Linked DNA regions of Oryctolagus cuniculus. The protein of the gene in region 1 purifies or fractionates together with the protein of each later gene. This does not show direct contact. Links are inferred from orthologs where the notes say so. Each region holds a gene or a part of one and is shown on either strand. Other genes may lie near its edges.

Region 1 (4,193 bases):
GGCAGCAGGTCGCCAAAGCCACGGTGGGGACGGCGGTGCGGCCGGCTCCCGGTGCCCTCGCCAGCGCTCGGCACTGCAGCTGCAGCCGCCTGCAAGGGGTGCCGGCGCCCGCAGCTGGAGGAGCCTGCAGTGATTGTAGCTGAACTCGTCCTACGGGTCTCCATCACGCAGCCCGCAGTTCCAGCCCCAGAGAAAGCTGAGTCGGCTGCAGGAGGCTCGCGGCCACGCCGCGGAACTCGGGGGCTGGGAGAGCCGAGCACGCGGAGGCGCGGCTACGGGCGGCCGGCTCCCGAGGGGCCCCGCACCTGCGCCGCCGCGGCCACCGCCCGCGGGGACCCCGTTGCTAGGGCCGTTGCCAAGGAGGGGCCGCCAGGCGGGACTCGCTTCCGGGAGGAGGGCGGCTGTAACCCGGAAGCGCTCGGCGGTGCGGCGCTGTTTAAAGATGGCGGCGGAGGAACCTCAGCAGCAGAAGCAGGAGCCGCTGGGCAGCGACTCCGAAGGTGCGGACCGCGGGAGGGGTGTCCGGCCCGGGCCCGCGGCGGCAAGGCCGGGCCGGCTGTTCTCGGGGAAGGCGGCGGAGGCGGGGCGGCCGGGGCGGCCGCGACGCGCGGACGGCCGCTGCCTCCGCGCCTCCCTGCCCCCTCACAATGGAAGGCGCTCCCTCCGCGACCCCCGGCCGGGCGGGGCGGGCAGTCTCGCGGCCTGGCCGCCGGCGCGCGCCCGGGGCGGGGCCTGGGCCGCCCCGCCCTCCGCGCCGGGCTCCCGGGCCGGGGCCCCCGTCGGGCCGGCCGAGGCCTAGGCCCGGACCGCGGCGCCGGCGTTCGCTCACGGCCGAGAGGCGTCGAGCAGCGTGGAGGGCCGGCTCGGCCGGGTGCGGTGTTGTGGGCGGCGCTGGCCCCGGAGGGGCCGTGGGCGTCCGCCCCTTCGGACTTCGGCCGTTTCCGGTAGAGCCCCCTCTTCTGGCCTGGCCGCCTCTCTCCGCCCGCCCATTGTTTTCTTAGACCCCTGAGGACGTGGGTGCCTTGGAAGTGGCCCCACCCGCCTCCTTTTCCGTCCGGGCGCTGGGCCCCGGGGACCGAGCTGGGCATTGGGGGTGGGGGGTGGGGGTGGCGGCGGATGCAGAGCCGCGCAGGGCACGGGCCGGGGCCCAGCTGCGTTAACCCTGCAAGAAGTCGCTCAGCGCTCACCGGCACGGAGAACCGGCAAGCCCAGGCCCCAGCAGTGACTTGTTCAGGGTCACAGAATTTAAGAGCGAGCCAGGATCCGAATCCAGGTTTCGCGAGCCCTGCGCATGGGACTTCTGCAGAGAGGGGGCCCTGCTCCTAGAGCACGCCAAGGTACCCCCCCCCCCGATGCAGCACTTGGGGCGCCCGGGGCTCGGCGGCGAGGTGGCGGAGCAGAGCGGGGCTCGCTGGGCATTGGACACACGTGGGCGTGACCGCAGGTCTCTACTTGCCAGGATGACTTCACCCCTCTGCCTTTGTTTTGCTCTTTGGAAAATGGGCACCATCAGGGGTACCGTGGGAGGATGCGGAAGTGCAGGCCCCCAGGAAGCTCTGCCCGCAGCCCCCTGCTTTCCCCCCAGGAGACCTCGCCCTGCCCCCGAGCATTCCTGGGCAGGCCAGTGCTGATGGACAGCAGGGAGGAAGGCAGTGCCAGCTGGGACAGTGGACCCTGGGCCGGTGCCGGGCGGGACAGCGGACCCTGGGCCGGTGCTGGGCTGGGACAGTGGACCCTGGGCCGGTGCCGGGCGGGACAGTGGACCCTGGGCCGGTGCTGGGCTGGGACAGTGGACCCTGGGCCGGTGCCGGGCGGGACAGTGGACCCTGGGCCGGTGCCGGGCGGGACAGTGGACCCTGGGCCGGTGCCGGGCGGGACAGCGGACCCTGGGCCGGTGCCGGGCTGGGACAGCGGACCCTGGGCCGGTGCCGGGCTGGGACAGCGGACCCTGGGCCGGTGCCGGGCTGGGACAGCGGACCCTGGGCAGGTGCCGGGCTGGGACAGCGGACCCTGGGCCGGTGCTGGGCTGGGACAGCGGACCCTGGGCCGGTGCCGGGCGGGACAGCGGACCCTGGGCTGGTCGCCTCTTCCTCTCTTCCTCTCATTTTAAAGATGAGGAAGGATTTCTCCCAGTTGGGCACAGCTCGGGAGGAGAAGGGCGTGGGACGCCTGCCCCTGCCGCCAGCTGCGCATCCCTGGCCCAGCTGTCCGCAGCGGAGGGGCCAGGACGCCCAGTCATCCCCGGCTCCTCGGCCTCTTCCAGGTGTTAACTGTCTGGCCTACGATGAAGCCATCATGGCCCAGCAGGACCGGATTCAGCAAGAGGTGAGGGGCGTTCAGCGGGGGGGGCAGAGGCCGGTGACCCGGTCTTGGGCGAGGGCCGGCCGGTCTGAGTTGTCTCTCCCTCGGAGCGCCCTCCTCCTCGGGCTGGGCGGCACTGCACGGTGCTCTGTCCCGCGTTACTGGGTACCCAGCCCAGCCCTCTGCCCCTGCTCCAGCGTCCTGGCTGTGTTGCCCCCCGCAGATCGCAGTGCACAACCCCCTGGTGTCCGAACGGCTGGAACTCTCGGTCTTGTACAAGGAGTACGCGGAGGACGACAACATCTACCAACAGAAGATCAAGGTGGGCACCGGCCGCAGGGCCAGGACTGGGGCTTGCCGGGCCTGTGCCCTGGGGGGGGCGGTTCTGGAGGTGTGCCGGCTCTGGCCCAGAGACCTTGAGCCAGATGCAGGTCCCGCCCCTCAGCAGCGGTGTCCTGGGCAGGTCCTGAGGCCTGTGTGCGGCCAGGTGTGTGCTGGGCGGGGCCTCCCCACGGCTGAGGCTGCCCCTCAGCCCGCCTCCTGGATCTGCTGAGGTGGGTGGCTGTGGGTGTCACCAGCCAGGGCCAGCCCCTCCCCTCCCGCGTTCTGAGAGCAGAGCGTGACGGGTGTGGAGGTGTAGTGAACGTCTCCCCACAGTGAACCGGGGATGCTTGGAGCCTTCACCCGAGGAGAGGCCTGTGGGCGCAGGTGGCCTGGCCACGTGGACAGCGGGGCCCCCCTCCCGTCGTGGGCAGTGGCAGCCTTGCAGCGAGAGCGAGTGTCCGCCCCTCCTCTGCCCTGGGGCAGCTCCAGTTTGCCAAGGGGAGCCAGAAATAGTGAGGTCCCCCTGCGGCGGTGGGCAGCTGAGTAAGAGTCCACGTGTGGTCTGTGGTGGACACGTGGCCGTCCCTGGGGGGCCTGCGGGGAGGGGAGCCACGCTGCGGCAGCAGACCCCTGCGGCTTCCTGCTGCTGTCGGTCTCTGGGAGGAGGGGCCTTCTCCCTCGAGGGGCAGCTGCGGGCTGAGGGTGGTGCTGGCCAGCGCCCCGCAGCGCCAGTCCCGTGCGGAGGGGCGTGTCCCCGGGCCGCATCTCCAGGCTGCCTGTCCCACTGTCTCCCGTAGAAATCAACGGGGTGGGCTCCAGGTCACTCGGCATGTACTTGAGTGTCATAGGAAGTGATTGGGTGTTTAGGGCGGGTATTTGAGTGTCGTGGGAAGTGATTGGGTATTTAGGGTGCTCAGAGGCTCTGCTGGTATTGGATGTGGGTGAGGCCCAGATGGACACCGGGAAGCCTGGGTGGGGCGAGGCTGCGCGGTCACACCCCGGCCCTGTAGGCCAAGATGCCCGGGCTCTGAGGCAAGGGGGAGGTAGCTGGACGTGAGACTCAGCTGGAGTGGAGGGCGGACATCGCGTGGGTTTACATTTGGGGCTGTTGAACTTGGGCTCGATGCTGTCGTGAGCGTGAGCGTAGCTTGTTGCTGGAAGCCGCGTGGGGCACCTGCTGCACCATGCGTGGCCTGCGTTCCCTGGCAGGCGCCCGTGTGGGTATGTGAGGTGACCCAGGAATACTGAGGAAAGGTGCAGTGTGGTTTGGTGGTGGCCTTGACCTTCGGAGGGTGGAGGGGTGAGGAGGGTCTGCCTGGAGTTCAGGGGCGACAAGGACCCGTGGGGTCATTAAGGACCCGGACCTGGTGACCCCGGGGGCAGTGCTGCCCGGGGTTTGTGACCTTGGCTGGAGCAGGTGCCTCCTGTGTGGGAGAGCACGGGGACCGTGCACCTGGCCGCTTTCCAAAATTCTGCCGTAGAGAGGGAGAGGACTCGGGCTTCCGGCCTTCTGAAGTGAGGGCTGCCTGTGTGTCCCTGCGCAACCGGGACTGGCCGTGTGTCCCTGC
Region 2 (3,513 bases), on another chromosome or scaffold:
AGAAAATACTAAAATTTCTCAGACGTATCTTTCTGAAAAGGGGGCAGTAGTTGAAAGGTGAGGACGGAAAGACAGGAATAGCTTACTGGTTCAGTGTGGGAAGAGGCGGAGCCTCTAGAACTGCTCTGTCCAATACAAAACCAACTAACTACATATGTGTGAATACACAACTTTTGAACTGGGGCTACCCAAAGCATCAAAGTATAAAATCAGATTTCAAAAACTTGGTGGCAAAAAGATGATGTAAAAGGCATCAGAAATAATACTGTACTTATGTGAAAATGACAGTGTTTTGGTACTTGGCTAACCAAAACAAATTATTATTAATTTTAGGGGTACTTGTTTGACCTAGCAGTAAAAATACCACTGAAGAAACCTGCATCCAGTATTTAAGTGCCTGGTTTAGTGTCCTGGCTCCATTTTAGGTTCTAGCTTTCTGATGTCGTGTACCCTGGAAGGCAGTAGGGGGCGGCTGATGTGGGTGGGTCCCTGCCATCCGCAGGGGACATTGAGTTCCCAGGTCCTAACTTCAGCTTGGCCCACACCTAGTTGTGAGCATTTGGGAGAGGGAGCCAACATATGGGAACTTGTTCTCTTATCTCTCAAAGTAAGTAAATAAAAATATAAGTTTATGGTCTCTTTTTCCATTTTTAACTGTGCCTACCTGAACATTTAAACTTCTATCTATAGTCTCTATTATAATTCTATTAGTGCTGCTCTATAAAATGAGGAATAATGTATATTCAGGTTATTGACACTCAATAGAGACACAGTGGTTTACAAATAAAATTAATATTTTGAAAATGTTCAGCTCTTAATAACTAGAGAACAAAAATACTATTCATGAACAGAAGAGAATTACATATTTATCATTCAACAAGTTCAACTTTTAACTTCAAAAAACAGGAACTAAACAGAAATAATTGTTCCAACAAGTTAATAGCAGAAACTTCGTTTGTTTCAAATGTCCAACATTTTTTTAGAACTTAGTGATGCCTAATTCTACATAAGTTATCTTAGCAAGAGGAGTAAACAGAAATTAAAGAATTAGAAAATTAAATTATAATTTCAAAAATTAATAAGCTGAATTTGAAAAGAACTGCATTAATCAAAATGATAAATCACACACAGAACAACTGTTTGAAACCCATGTTAGTCAACCCATTTTCCATTAAGTTGATAGGACAAATGTTAACAGTGTTATAATTCTGTATAAAATAAATCTTGCTTTTTTCCCCTAGTTTTGCTAACATGTTTAAAGCAATTCTAATATGGAACACTAGGCAGAGTTATCACTACTTATAAATACAGTTATAAGGTATTTCTAAAATTTCATTTGTTTTCCTGTAATACAGAGTACTTTTAGCATTATACTAACATTTAAAGGTGTTAATCAAATTAGGGTTTCGCCCTTTTAATTGATTCAGCAAGATGGATTCTATAGACCTGGAAACAGTAAAAAATATATTAACTTCAAGATCTTAGATTCTTTTTTTTTTTTTTGACAGGCAGAGTGGACAGTGAGAGAGAGACAGAGAGAGAGAAAGGTCTTCCTTTGCCGCTGGTTCACCCTCCAATGGCCGCCGCTGCAGCCGGCGCACTGCGCTGATCCTGGCAGGAGCCAGGAGCCAGGTGCTTTTCCTGGTCTCCCATGGGGTGCAGGGCCCAAGCACCTGGGCCATCCTCCACTGCACTCCCTGGCCATAGCAGAGAGCTGGCCTGGAAGAGGGGCAACCGGGACAGAATCCGGCGCCCCAACCGGGACTAGAACCCGGTTTGCCGGCGCCGCAAGGTGGAGGATTAGCCTATTGAGCCACGGCGCCGGCTGAGATCTTAGATTCTGATGGAACACATAGAAAAACACTCCAAAAATAATCTGGTAACTGTAACTGACAGTAAATATTTGTAGGGGATCCAGACCTTGGCATCTGCAACTTGAGGTAAATACCACTAGGTGGCACTGTTGTTACCTTATTATATAATGCTTTCCTGAGACAGAATCTTTCTTAAATCTTTACGTAATATTTATTATATATATTACACACACATGCATCAAGTTGCTACATAAATTGTAATTTTAAAAGATTTTATTTATTTGGAAGACAGAGACACACACACATAGGCAGAGTGATTTTCAATCTGCTAGTTCACTCCCTAAATATCCACAATAGCTGGGGCTTGCCCAATCTTATCCCAGGAGTCTGGAAATCAATCCAGATCTCCAACACGGGTAGCAGGGACCCAAGTACTTGGGCCATCATCTTCTGTTTCTGAGGGTGTACATTAGCAAGAAAGTTGAAAGTGGAGCTGAGACAAACCCAGCCACTCCAAAATGCGATGTGGGCGTACCACGCAGCATCTTTACAACTGTGTCAAATGCTTCCCCCTCTACATAAACCTTAAATAGTATAGGGCATAAGAGGAATAATGTAGCAGCTAAGGGCTATAGGCTTGCTAACACACTTTTCCCCCTGGCATGTTGAACGTCTCTGGAATAAAAGTACAATTGTGTTCTGATTTCGTTCTGGCATTTTTTTTTTTTTTTATATAGCTTGACAGGTAAAAGGAAGGAAGCCATTCACATGAGTGTCTTGTTTAAGTTTTGTAAACTAATTATGTTACGTTTAAGTCTGGTAAACTGACAGTTATGACAAGGCACAACTTAATGCTTCTCTTTGTTAGCCATGTAATTCATATTTCAAGTGAATGAAGCACTAACAGGCAGAAACCACCCCCGGTCATCCTCCACTTCCAGTACAAGGTCATACCCACGCAGCCACATTACTAGTTTCCTGTGTATCTGTTGTAGTTTCCCAGGTTTTTGCTTATCTATGAAGGATTTCGCATAAAACTCACACTAAACTCTCATTTCTGCAAACTGTCAGTTTTTTGTCCCAGTATGTTTCTTAGAGAAGGTTCACCGAATATTTTCCCTCAGAAGTTCAAAATGTATCTGCCTCACTGATATGCAAAGTATAGTTTTATTTACAATTAACAATTCACCTTCCTTCTGTTGATCACAAAATTATTTGTAAGACTCAATTACTTTCAGTTTTAAAATTCTTTCATGTGAGATTCCACATAAATTCATGAAAAATAATGAAATAAAATGCAACCAGAATACAAGCAAGTCCTAGAATTAATGATTTCAGAGAAGAATGAATATTAAAGAATATACTTATATGTTCTTACCTTTGGTGGTTTAAATGGATAATCTGATGAAAATGTGATATCCAGAAAAAACACACCACCTTCATATACAGAACCTGGTGGACCAAGTATAGTTGATCTCCACTCATAAATGTTATCTCCTTTAGGCCCAGCACTATTTAAAAGAAATTAAAAATCAATATATACATCTGCAAATATACATGCTAACATCTTAAAACCAGTAAAGTATTAAAGGTAAATTGGTAAGAGCAACAAAGAATGAGATTAAGTATTAAAAAAAAAAAAAGCAATAAGCCCTAATGTGCTCAGGCATATGTATAAAAACCTATTTTAAAATATCTC
Region 3 (3,513 bases), on another chromosome or scaffold:
ACTTAGAAGGGGAAAAAAAGATGAAAACTGTGGATGCCACTGTGTCATCGTTTTTGTTTTATTTTTCTCTATAAAATGCACATGCACTCCCCCAGTGACAGTGAATTCCTCAAACATTCAGGCAACAATGGGTGGTCTTTCTTAGGGGTTTCTCAGACCTTTCATGGTGATTGCTGAGACCCCAGGCCAGGGACACCCCCCCCCCCCCCGAGACTTTTCAGGGTCTCTGTTATGTTCTTGATTATTGTAGCTACTCTGTGCACTTGTTTAGCAGAAATGTAACAACTTTTTCCTTATTATTAACTGTTGATTGGATTGTAATGTTCTTGATTGGATTCCTTGCGCCTTTTCTGAACCTTCAGGGAAGTGTGTACACACACAGAAGGCAGGCTGCAAAGCAGGAATCTTCATCTGGAGCTGTAGTTAGGACCGCAGGGGATGCACTGAGAATCTCAAAGCCCCTGTTCCTAACTGGTTCTCCCATTTCCAGCAGCCTGGACCCGTGGTTCCCAATGCAAATCAACTGTTTACCACTCAGCAGGGGGAGCTGTTTGAACGTGTAGATTTTGGGGTCCTGCTGTAGACATTCTAACTCATGCAGCCTGGGGAGTAATCTAAGAGTCTTCATTTTTAGTTATATAGATAATTTTGATGCACAGTGGAATTTGGGGACCCCGTTTTCTTTACAGTTCACATAATCTACTCAAGCCGGCACACTGTTGAGCACCTCTTCTCTGTTATTTAAGGGGCTGGGAGAAGTAGGCAAAGCTGATGTCACCTCTAGGTTAGACTAACCTCACTCTTGTTTCTCTAGGTCAGTCAGTCTCATAGCCTCATGGAGCCGGACCTGGCCAAAACAGTATGGCTTTAGCAGGCGCTGGGAATAGTGTCAGTACTACACTTTGAGGCCTGGTTCCTGGTCTGTAGAGAGGCGTTTAGAGTAGATGGAAGTATGGAGAGTTGAGAGTAGTAGCCTTTTACCTTTGTCTTCCTGACTAGGTAAGAGATTACTCATCTTGTCCTGCACCTGTGTGTCAGTGTTACCTTCCTCTTCTCAGTCCACATCTCAGCCAGCTGCAGTCTGGTGAAGTCACAGCCATTACTGGCCAGCGTCTGCAGAGTCTGCCTGTTCTAGTAAGGCTATACCATCAGCTGGTGGCTTACAAGCAGCAGAAATGTATCAGTTCCCGAGGGGGGAATCTAAAGCCATGGTGCTGCTGTGTCTGGCCAGGGCCTGCGTCCGAGTGCCCATCCAGTGTCTGCTTGCTGTGCCCTCACTTGATGGAAGAAAGCTGGGAGGGGGGGGTCTCTTAGGACACTGATCCCGTTCATGAAGATGTCATTGATGAGCCCCAGTGGCCCACCTCCTCCCAACAGCATCACATTAGAGCAACTCAAACACGTGGGCGGGTAGGTTTTAAGTGACCAGGGACCAGGTCTGCTCCCGGGAGATGAAGCAGCAGGAATCGGAGCCTTTCACTGGCAGGGTTACTGCGCGTTCTTAGAGGGACAGAGGGCTAAGAGCGCTCCCTGCATTGCACCCGGTGAAAATCACAGTCCACTGCCAAGTACACGCACCTGTGACTCCATAGTGTCGGCAGTGGTAAGTGATCTCCCCGTGTGCTCATGTGTTCAGTTGAAGACAAGTTTTTCATAGTTCTTGGGAACACCCATCGCGGAGTTTAAAGGGCCATATCGTCAGAGCCAATGGGAATCATTACCAGTGCTGCTCGCTGCCACGGGCTCCACAGGGCTCTTCCTCAGTTACTTAATTCCTAAGCCATTCCTGTGAGGCAGGTGTGTGAACGTGGGTTTAGGGCGACAGTGGGCTCTCGGGCACACACAGCTAACTCACTGCCTGTGCCCACTCCCCGTCGGGGCCTTTTCTTCACCCATGACTCCTCCCCAAGTCCTGCTTCCCTGGGTTTTTGTAAGCACGTTCCCATAACCTGTGTTTAGCTGTGGCTACTCCTACCCCATGGTGGAGCTGGGGAAAGCAGAGCTCACCTGTAGCCTTCTTACTCCTCTACTCCTCATCTCCTCTCTCTTAAATGAAGGTGTCAAAACCGGCTCTTGTCCAGTGTCAAAACCCCTCACCCGCCTAGCACACAGCTTTCCGTTCATGGTCATTGAGAGAGCCGTGCTGCCTGCCCCGCAGGAGTGGGGCGAGTGTTGGCTGGGTTTCTGCCATCCTCTCCGCGCACACAGCACTGCTCTGGGAGCAGTTCCAGGTGCGTCGGGCACTCTGTCACCGCCCCTGCTCAGCCGTGCTGTGGGGAGGCAGCCCGCTTCCTGAGAGTTTCGTCCTTTCCCCCTTCACTTTTTAGGACCATAGTACTGCACTTACTGGTTTGGGAAGCTAAATTAAGCTCTTCAATAATTTCTAGAATTAGGATAAAATTTGTTAAAACTTCATATATGTGGGAGGTGGGTTGTTTGGCGTGGCGGTTGAGCTGCTACGTGGGATGCACACATTCCGTGTCAGAGTGGGTCTGAGTCCCCACTCGGCTCAGCTTCCTGTAGTCCCTGGGGAAGCAGCAGGTGAAGGCGCAAGACCCTGGGCCCCTGCCGCCCGTGTGGAGACCTGGACTGACCTTGCAGCTCAGCCCTGGCTGTGGTGAGCAGGTGGGGAGGAACCAGCAGAATGAAGGCGTCTGTCAAATCTTTAAAAAATTACATATACGCTTCAGTACAAAGTGCCCTGGAAGCCAAGAGAATGCTGTGGAAGGGTTCTGTGGTCAGAGCGTGGTGTAACCAAGAGTAACAGACATTAGTGTCCTCACCGTAATAGAGAACCCAGTAACAGGATTTGATCTTGAAATTAAAACTGGATAACTTGCCATCATTCTCTTCCCACCCAGCATAGTTTTGGTTTATGAGAAAAAAGCGTGGCCGTCTTTTGGATCTTTTTAGGGTAAGATTATTGAGATACAAGAGCGAGGGAGGAAAACAGCCAGTGTGTCAGAAAACGAAACTTTTGCGCTTCAAACTGCTGTCGTTTGTCTGTATGTGCTAAGGTGTTTAAGTATTTACACTTTGTTCTGTGGCAAGGAGAGGTTTGAGAATTGAGTAACATTTCCTGCTTATTAAGAGCTAAGTAAACTTGGAATGACTTTAACATTCTTGAATCATCCAGTTGACTTGCCCCGAGGCTGATGTTTGCTATAGTTTCTGCATCAGAAAGATACTTCTGTTTTCTGAAGAAAAGTTACACATTTGATAGAAAGGTGGGGGAGGGGGTTCTCGCTCCCCTTTTTTGATACAGTATGAGAGTCGGGTGATGCCACCGTCTGCTTAGCTGTTGATGTGTTCTTTTCAGCGCTGGCCCCAAAGGTGATAACATCTATGAGTGGAGATCCACCATTCTAGGGCCTCCAGGATCTGTGTACGAAGGTGGCGTCTTCTTTCTCGATATTACTTTTACACCAGAATATCCCTTCAAGCCTCCCAAGGTAAGGAATTCCCCTGATTTATGTTAGATTTGCTAGTTCCCATAGGAGCCTAGTGAGGGTT
Region 4 (3,513 bases), on another chromosome or scaffold:
TAAACAGGGCCAGAGGTGGAGGTTGTCCCGGCCATCTCGGAAGGAAACGAGTTCTCTTTGCGATGCTTCCATGTGATCGGGGGAGTGAAGGCCGGCCAGACGGTGACTTGCGTAAAACTCGCTGAATTAAGTACAGTTGAGAAATACTGAATGACACACTTCTAGGCTAGGCCACGGCACAGAGAGCGCTGTTGTGACCCAAAATTGAGGATTTCCCAAGACTGCGAATAAGAATTGCCTGGGACATCTGTTAAATTACAGTTTTCCAGACCCGTTTCGCAGGGCTGCTCATTCAGCGGGCCTGGCATGGGCCTAGAAATTTGCATTTTTAAACAAGTGTCTCAGGTGGTTGCTACAGAGAAACCCTGGGAAACTTGAAGTAAAGCCCTTTAGGCCCGAGACAGGAAGCAGAGGCCCCAGAACTTTTTGTTGTGGGATTTCAGGGTGCCCTTTAGGCTGCTGTACCTGCATTCTCTTGGGGGCCCCAGGCGTCCGATGTCTCAGCATCAATCAGGAACAGGTGTTCTTCCCAGCCTGGTTGGTGGTAACTTCATGTCATTTCTCTCCCCTGATGCCTGGCCGCCACCAGCCACTGGACCCAGGGTCTCCACAATCGCCCGAGCACTTGGAATCAGTAAGGTTCTTTCCCTCTGGCTCGGGGCTTTGTCTTGTTTTCCTTTCACTGCTCAGCATGGCTTTCGTGAACAGAGAGAAGACACGAGGCGGGGAAGGCGGTCCACGGCTGTGCAACCGCTGTGCCCGACCTCAGAGCACCTTACAGCTGCTGGAAGTGAGGGACACCAGGCTGCTGGCCACGGGTCTGCCTCTCCTCCTCTTCCCACAGGCATCACCAAGGTGTGCTGTGCAGGGCAGGGCACGGCACAGCAGGAGAACATGCCACAGCAGTGGCAGACGCATGGCACATGGCTCCAGGAAGCGGACAGTTTTCTCACTTTTCTCCCTGGCTTTTCTCTGCCACTCACATGGCTACGTGCTTGGCATCCCTCGGGGTGGTGAGGACAAGTGGGTGAGATGGCAGTGCTGTCCTGCCATCGAATGCTGTCCACCTGTCTGCTTACCAGGGCCTTAGAGATTGTGCCCACCTGTATCCATACCTTCGACTTGGCTTTTTCTTTCTGGGCTGTTGGTTAGCTCAAGTGCACCAGCTCAGGCTGGTGGGGTTCTGCTTCCCCCTTCCCTTATTAACCTAGGTTTCTTTCTCTCCCTACCCGCCACAAGCAGCAGCAGAAACGACCCAATGCTGAGCTCCGCCGGAACGTGACCATCAAAACTGAACTCCCACTGGGCGCACGTTAGTATGGGAGAGTGGGCCTCAGGCCTAGGCCTTGTTCTGGGGGCATATCTGTAGTGGATCAAGACTCCGGGATTCTGTTCCCAGCTCAAAGGGATCTGAGCCCAGAGGAGAGCAAAGCTCCTGGGACTGAGAAGGGGTGGGCCTCTGTCCCCCTGCTCTTATCTCTCTGGTTTCCTCCTAGGGCGGAAGATGAAGCCACTGCTACCACGAGTCAGCTCCTACCTGGTGCCCATCCAGTTCCCAGTGAACCAGTCACTGGTGCTGCAGCCCTCAGTGAAGGTGCCATTGCCCCTGGCAGCTTCGCTCATGAGCTCAGAGCTCGCCCGCCATAGCAAGCGAGTACGCATTGCCCCCAAGGTGAGCGTCTTCTCTCTCTCTCCATTAGAAGTCCTGGACCTATAGCTTGTGAATCACTGTGCTAAATGGTCCTTGGAAGCTGATGAATCTAGCTGGGTAGACAACCATAAAGACACAAGAAAATGTGGTAGCGTGGTAAGAGCTAAAAAGGGATTTGGATTACAACGTAAATGGTGTCAGGAGGCCCATGAATACTTGATGAGTTTTTAAAAATTCAGACAAGGGTGGTTGTGATATGTGGGCTGAGGTGGCTGAGGAAATACAAGGAGGCACGTTTGAGGAAGAAGTGAGTCTGGGTGAACAGACAAGTTTGGAGAGAGCATCCTCGTGGGCAGTGCCCTGGAAGCAGGAGATGCCGGTGCGTACCTGGGAGTGGCAGAGTGAATCAGTCAGTCTCAGCATTTCTCAGCCTCAGCCTTACTGACACCTGGGGCTGAGTTAGTCTTTGTCAGTTTGGAGGGGTATTGTCTATGGGTCTGTTGTCCTACCTACTAGAAGCCAGTATCACACATGCACTCCCCCCCCAACCCTCAAGGCATGACATTGCAGAATGTCTGTGGGGAGGGGAAGCTGTCCCCAGTTGAACATCACTGGTCCAGCCTGGGAATGTGGGAAGGGTGAGCTAAGACCACACCAGGAGGGCCACCGAGTCTTGTCTTAACCCGGCAAGGACAACTGTTTGTGGGAGAACCACTGCACCCCATTCAGTGAGATGGAGATAACCTAAACTAAAGCTTAGAGAGATTTGGGTTTGTTTTTATTCTTCTAATTTAGAAATATTTTTAGGGGCAGGCATTGTGGCGCAGGATGTTAAGCTGCCACTTGAGGACCACAGCCCATATCGAGTGCCTGTTTCCAGTCCCGGCTCCTCCACTTCCAATCCAGCTTCCTGCTAATACGCACCCTGGGAGGCAGTGGACGACGACTCACGTACTTGGGTGCCTGTCTTCCATGTAGGAGACCTGGATAGAGGTCTGGGCTCCTGGCTTCAGCCTGACCTAGCTATTGTAGGCATTTGGGAATTCATATATAAATAAAATTTTGTGTGTTACAAAGAAGTTTCAAAATTCCTGGAAATTTTGCATTTTTAAATTCCAGTTTCCCACAAACTTTTTGAAAATTTTTTTTTAATTTTATTTGAAAGGCTGAGAAATAAAGAAAGAGATAGAACTTCCATCTGCTGATTCACCCCCCCCAAATGTCCGCAACATTCGTGACTGGTTGTTTTTTGGTTTTTTTGTTTGTTTTAAGATTTATCTATCTATTTAAAAAGCAGAGTTACAGAGGCAGAGAAAGAAAGAGAGGTCTTCCATCTGCTGCTTCACTCCCCAAGTGGCCACAATAGCTGGAGCTGGGCTGATCCAAAAGCAGGAGTCAGGAGCTTCTTCCAGGTCTCCCACATGAGTGCAGGAGCCCAAGGACTTGGGCCATCTTCCATTGCTTTCCAGGCCACAGCAGAGAGCTGGATCAGAAGCGGAGCAGCTAGGACTCGAACCGGCACCCATATGGGATGCTGATTGTGCAGGCAGCAGCTTTACCCACTACGCCACAGTATCAGCCCCAAAGCTCTTTTATATGCTTAAATTTTTTTAATTAAATTTTTTAAAGATTTATTTATATTTATTTGAAAGACAGAGTTGCAGAGAGAGGGAGAGAGAGAGAGGTTTTCCATCCGCTGGTTCACTCCCCAAATGGCTGCAACAACCGGAGCTGAGCCGATCCAAAACCAGGAGCCAGGAGCTTCTTCTGGGTCTCCCTTGTGGGTGCAGAGGGCCAAGAACATCTTCCACTGCTTTCCCAGGCCACAGCAGAGAGCTGGATCGGAAGTGGAGCAGCCAGGA
Region 5 (4,272 bases), on another chromosome or scaffold:
CAGAGAGCTGGACTGGAAGAGGAGCAACCGGGACAGAACCGGTGCCCCGACTGGGACTAGAACCTGGGATGCCTATGCCGCAGTCGGAGGATTAGTCTAGTGAGCCATGGCGCGGCCAAGAGAGAGAGGTCTTCTATCTTCTGGTTCACTCTGCAAATGGCTGCAACAGCCGAAGCTTCTTCCAGGTTTCCCACAATGATGCAGGGGCCCAAGGACTTGGGCCATCTTCTACTGCTTTCCCAGGCCATAGCAGAGAGCTGGATCAGAAGTGGAGCGGCCGGAACTGGAACTGGCACCCATATGGGATGCTGGCACTGCAGGTGGCAGCCTTACCCGCTATGCCACAGTGGGAGCTCCCATCCCCTTCTCACTGAACCTGCAACCACATACAACCATCGCCAAAAATGATATCTAGAGTTCTTTTCCTTTTGTACTTGGTTTTCAGATGCTTGGGCAAGAAAGTTGGAAGGGCTTAAAAATGTTGTGCCTTTTGATTTTTTCAAAGTAAGCATTTTAATCTCAGGTTCCATTTGTAATGCATTGGAAATGTAAAAGCATTTATAATAATAGTTCATGTAATTCAGAATAAATCTAATGTATAATTGCCTTTCTACAACTATTCTATGAGTTCATTTTCAGGTTTTTGCTATGTATCTGATTCTATGTCATTGCAATCATTGCTTAAATTTGAAATTAGAATTTTTTGATAATTTGATGGAATAAGGTGCAAATAGGAAATAAATTTCTTCCACTTAGTCCAGGAAATCACCTAGTATATCTATTTTCCAGAGTCACTGTGATTTTTAAATTTGCCACACTCATTTGAGTGTGATTTTAAATACTGATTGACCATGAGTCATAAGAAATAATTTTATCTTTAATGTGAGTCAGACTCATAGTTGTTAGGTGTGTTGCAGCAAGTAAGAGTGAAGATCGTTTTAGCTTTGTAAATATTAGATTTAACTGTGTTGCTAGGAATCTCAAACGGGAAAAAGTGAAAATAAGTATGATACAAATATGAAATCTAAAAATGCTTGTTGCAAATAGTCTAGCTCTGCAGTGCATTCTGTCACCAAAAAAGTTGCCTGTTAAATATTTTTACTTGTGAGTTTAGGAAAAAAAGAAACTCCCTTACAATGAAGAGATCATTTCCTGTTTCATTTTTCATTTTGTTTCGGCGTGAAGAGCTTTTGCCCCTCACTAGGAGTTGCTTTCAATCTCTCTGAAGGTCTGTTCTGAATTTACTACTTTGGGATTGGTGCAGCTGCCTTTTAAGTGCGTGCTTTGTTCTCTGAAAGGCTTATGTCAGTTGAGCAACATGCTGCTACTGTTAAAAAAAAAAAAAAAAAAGCTGAGTAATGCTGGAGCCTTCTCATGTGGCTGATGCAAACCTGGAGAATTTGCATCATCATGTAGCCGGAGTAAGTTGGTGTGACAGGCAAGAGCTTAAATACAAGCCCACGAGGAAGCTGAGCTGGTTTGTAATGATAGGGCAGCAGCCGCTGCAGCAACAGTGGTAGTGCGAGGAGGTGGAGAACTGAGGGCACCATGAACACACAGGTGTTTCTGAGTAGTAATTAGATAGCTGGGAAGGATAAAATACACCTCTGAGTTTCTACCTGTGTTCGTAATAGCGTTGAGAGAGACAATCTGAACGCAAAGAGGAGGAGATCAGTCACACCAAGAGACACTGAAGTTGAAAGTTTTGGTTTTCTTTTCCTGTGTTGTCTTTTTGCCCTGGTATCACTACTATGGTCAGAAAACCTGTTGTGTCCACCATCTCCAAAAGGAGTTACCTGCAGGGAAACGTGAACGGGAGGCTGCCTTCCATGGGTGGCAAGGAGCCCCCTGGGCAGGAGAAAGTGGTGCTCAAGAAGAAAATCACCTTACTGAGGGGAATCTCCATTATCATTGGCACCATCATCGGCGCAGGAATCTTCATCTCCCCCAAGGGTGTGCTGCGCAACACCGGCACCGTGGGCATGTCTCTGGTTGTCTGGACGCTCTGCGGAGTCCTGTCCCTGTTCGGTGAGTACGACTTCTTTCCTGGGAGGTGTGGCTGGGAAGTTTGCAATCTGCTAACTTTGAGGAGTGAAGGAACGGCAAAGCCTGTTCCTCATTATTTGATTTTTGTTGAGGTATGTGAAATGCTGCAACAGAATGCTCACTGTTGTTCTGATCCTAAGTTGCCCCAAATTGCTTCCTGCAGGCTATGCTGTCTTTTCCTGACTCAGACAGACTATTTTCTGACTTTCCCCGTGGTGATGTGCGCATAGGCAAACTTTGATGACCTAGGAAAATGCATGCATGCTTTCTCTCCTGGCTGTTGTGCTTAGTTACATCTGGTGGGGGCATTCAGGCAGCTGGCACACTGAATGAGACACCTGTGAGGCAAAACCCGGAGTGGCCTATTCAGACCCAGAACTGAGCATTCAGCTTGAGTCTCACTGACTTCTGATTAGCAAAACAAATGGGCAGCAGTCTCTTCCTTCTAAGTTCATCTGCTTGTCAATTCCTGATATTCTTTCAAAAGTCAGTGACATGGAAAGATGCATGCAGACCCTTAACTCAGTCTCTCTCATCCGTGGGAATGTGGCAATGTCCTGAACATACTTCAAATATTTTTCAACCTTTATCTCTCCTTAACACTTCTCACCTTCTGCAATGCAAGTTTTAAAACTTCCTTGGCTGTTAGCTTGTTGTGCCTGGCTGGGTCTGTTCTCTTCGTCTGTGTTTCACTTAGTTTCCAGGAAATCAAGTAATTTGTCTACCTGTTCACCGAGTTAATTTAAAGAGAAGTGGTCAAAGAAGTATGATTTTTTTTTCAAGATTCATGTCTCTCCTATTGATTTATGAGTTAATGATACAGAAGTAATAAATGATGCTTCATATCATTGGCAGATTGCTAGAAAGTTACCTGAGTTAGTTGGAAATGTTACAAAAACTGCAGTTATCAAAAATTAACTTGATTTATGCTATGCAGTGAATGCCTAAGATTATTTGCTCATCTCTGAAATAGATTGTTTTGATTTTGAAAGTTACTACGCTTTGAAGTTATTGATCTTTTCCTAATTCTAGGACCAAGTACTAACTCTTAGTCCAATAGGTACCCATACATTCAGTCTTTCTATTTGAATCTTGTGATATTTTAATCCATTGCTTTGGGCAGTCATCGGCAGGCTTATATTTTTAGGAGGAAAGTATTTTAAGTAAAATCTGTTAAAACAAAGTCAGTGTCAAAAATATTTTTAGGTTTTCAGAAAGAGTTTGTAGCATTATTTATGTGAAGAGTTTGTGTTTTATAAAATATTCAGTAATATTGTGTGTCATTGTTTTCCAAGTGTTACTCTCCATCCTTATAGAATACCTTGAAGTAGTCTGATTATGGCAAACTGACAGAACCCTTGGCTGTGATTAATATTAAAATAGTTCTTCATATACAGTTATAAATAAAGAGAAACCTAATTGTTTATCTTCATAAAGACTCTGTGCACCCTCAGCCTTGAATCTTCTTGCAGTACTTGGGCTGTTCAGAATAAATCAATATTTGATCAGAAAAACCACAGCCAGTTTCCTGGACTTTGCATACTTATGTATATGCATTTTTCATAATGTGATTCCATTCTTGCACATACAAAAACTTATTGAGATGTAACAAACTAGACTACTCTGAGTATTCAACTGGTAAAAGTGATGTTGACTTGGCACTATGACAACATGGTAATGCATTAGTATGTCATTTAGAGCAGTAACTCAGAGAAAACAAGCCAAAGTCACATGTGAGTTGGTATTTTTTGATTACTAATTGCAGGGAGGGAGTGTGCTCTTGTATTAATCTACTTCTCTGTATTTGCATTGACTTTGTCACTTAAAGTACTAGGAGCCTTTTGACAGGAGCACCTCCCTAACAGGAAGCAAAGCAAATGTAAGGAAAACATTTTTTTCTGGGACTAAAAGTAAAGAATCTGTGTACAAACAGTCCCTAACTCAAGATCGTTTGATTTATGATTTCACAGTGGTGTATAATAATAATAATAACTTATCCAATAAATCATCCACACTGTTCAATACTTTATTATAAAACAGATTTTGTGTTAGATGACTTTGCCCAACTGTAGGCTATTGTGAGTATTCTGAGCATATTTAAGATGAACTAGGCTAAGCTGTCATGTTCAGCGTGTTAGGGGCATTAAATGCAAAGTTCATATATGTCATTTTCAACTTACACTGGATTTATCAGGAGATAACCCCATCATAAGTGGAGGAGTGTCT

The links.
Region 2: the proteins of OTUB1 (region 1) and UBE2E3 purify together in Homo sapiens (affinity purification with mass spectrometry; 3 studies listed by BioGRID and IntAct, counting the BioPlex papers as one, with this or other methods). This does not show direct contact. The link is inferred for Oryctolagus cuniculus from reciprocal best matches to the Homo sapiens genes OTUB1 and UBE2E3.
Region 3: the proteins of OTUB1 (region 1) and UBE2E1 purify together in Homo sapiens (affinity purification with mass spectrometry; 4 studies listed by BioGRID and IntAct, with this or other methods). This does not show direct contact. The link is inferred for Oryctolagus cuniculus from reciprocal best matches to the Homo sapiens genes OTUB1 and UBE2E1.
Region 4: the proteins of OTUB1 (region 1) and FOXM1 purify together in Homo sapiens (affinity purification with western blotting; 4 studies listed by BioGRID, with this or other methods). This does not show direct contact. The link is inferred for Oryctolagus cuniculus from reciprocal best matches to the Homo sapiens genes OTUB1 and FOXM1.
Region 5: the proteins of OTUB1 (region 1) and SLC7A11 purify together in Homo sapiens (affinity purification with western blotting; 5 studies listed by BioGRID, with this or other methods). This does not show direct contact. The link is inferred for Oryctolagus cuniculus from reciprocal best matches to the Homo sapiens genes OTUB1 and SLC7A11.

What each region holds. Positions count from the first base shown.
Region 1 is NC_091432.1:7,239,753-7,243,945, reverse strand, and holds the start of OTUB1 (ubiquitin thioesterase OTUB1), read left to right. Parts: upstream 1-1,387; 5' UTR 1,388-1,528; coding exon 1,529-1,682; intron 1,683-2,263; coding exon 2,264-2,325; intron 2,326-2,524; coding exon 2,525-2,623; intron 2,624-4,193. UniProt on the Homo sapiens protein: Hydrolase that can specifically remove 'Lys-48'-linked conjugated ubiquitin from proteins and plays an important regulatory role at the level of protein turnover by preventing degradation.
Region 2 is NC_091434.1:59,872,590-59,876,102, forward strand, and holds part of UBE2E3 (ubiquitin-conjugating enzyme E2 E3), read right to left. Parts: intron 3,326-3,513; coding exon 3,193-3,325; intron 1-3,192. UniProt on the Homo sapiens protein: Accepts ubiquitin from the E1 complex and catalyzes its covalent attachment to other proteins. In vitro catalyzes 'Lys-11'- and 'Lys-48'-, as well as 'Lys-63'-linked polyubiquitination.
Region 3 is NC_091435.1:159,783,417-159,786,929, forward strand, and holds part of UBE2E1 (ubiquitin-conjugating enzyme E2 E1), read left to right. Parts: intron 1-3,319; coding exon 3,320-3,452; intron 3,453-3,513. UniProt on the Homo sapiens protein: Accepts ubiquitin from the E1 complex and catalyzes its covalent attachment to other proteins. Catalyzes the covalent attachment of ISG15 to other proteins. Mediates the selective degradation of short-lived and abnormal proteins.
Region 4 is NC_091440.1:106,455,851-106,459,363, forward strand, and holds part of FOXM1 (forkhead box protein M1), read left to right. Parts: intron 1-589; coding exon 590-634; intron 635-1,239; coding exon 1,240-1,312; intron 1,313-1,496; coding exon 1,497-1,672; intron 1,673-3,513. UniProt on the Homo sapiens protein: Transcription factor regulating the expression of cell cycle genes essential for DNA replication and mitosis. Plays a role in the control of cell proliferation. Also plays a role in DNA break repair, participating in the DNA damage checkpoint response.
Region 5 is NC_091439.1:26,518,146-26,522,417, forward strand, and holds the start of SLC7A11 (cystine/glutamate transporter), read left to right. Parts: upstream 1-1,468; 5' UTR 1,469-1,751; coding exon 1,752-2,028; intron 2,029-4,272. UniProt on the Homo sapiens protein: Heterodimer with SLC3A2, that functions as an antiporter by mediating the exchange of extracellular anionic L-cystine and intracellular L-glutamate across the cellular plasma membrane.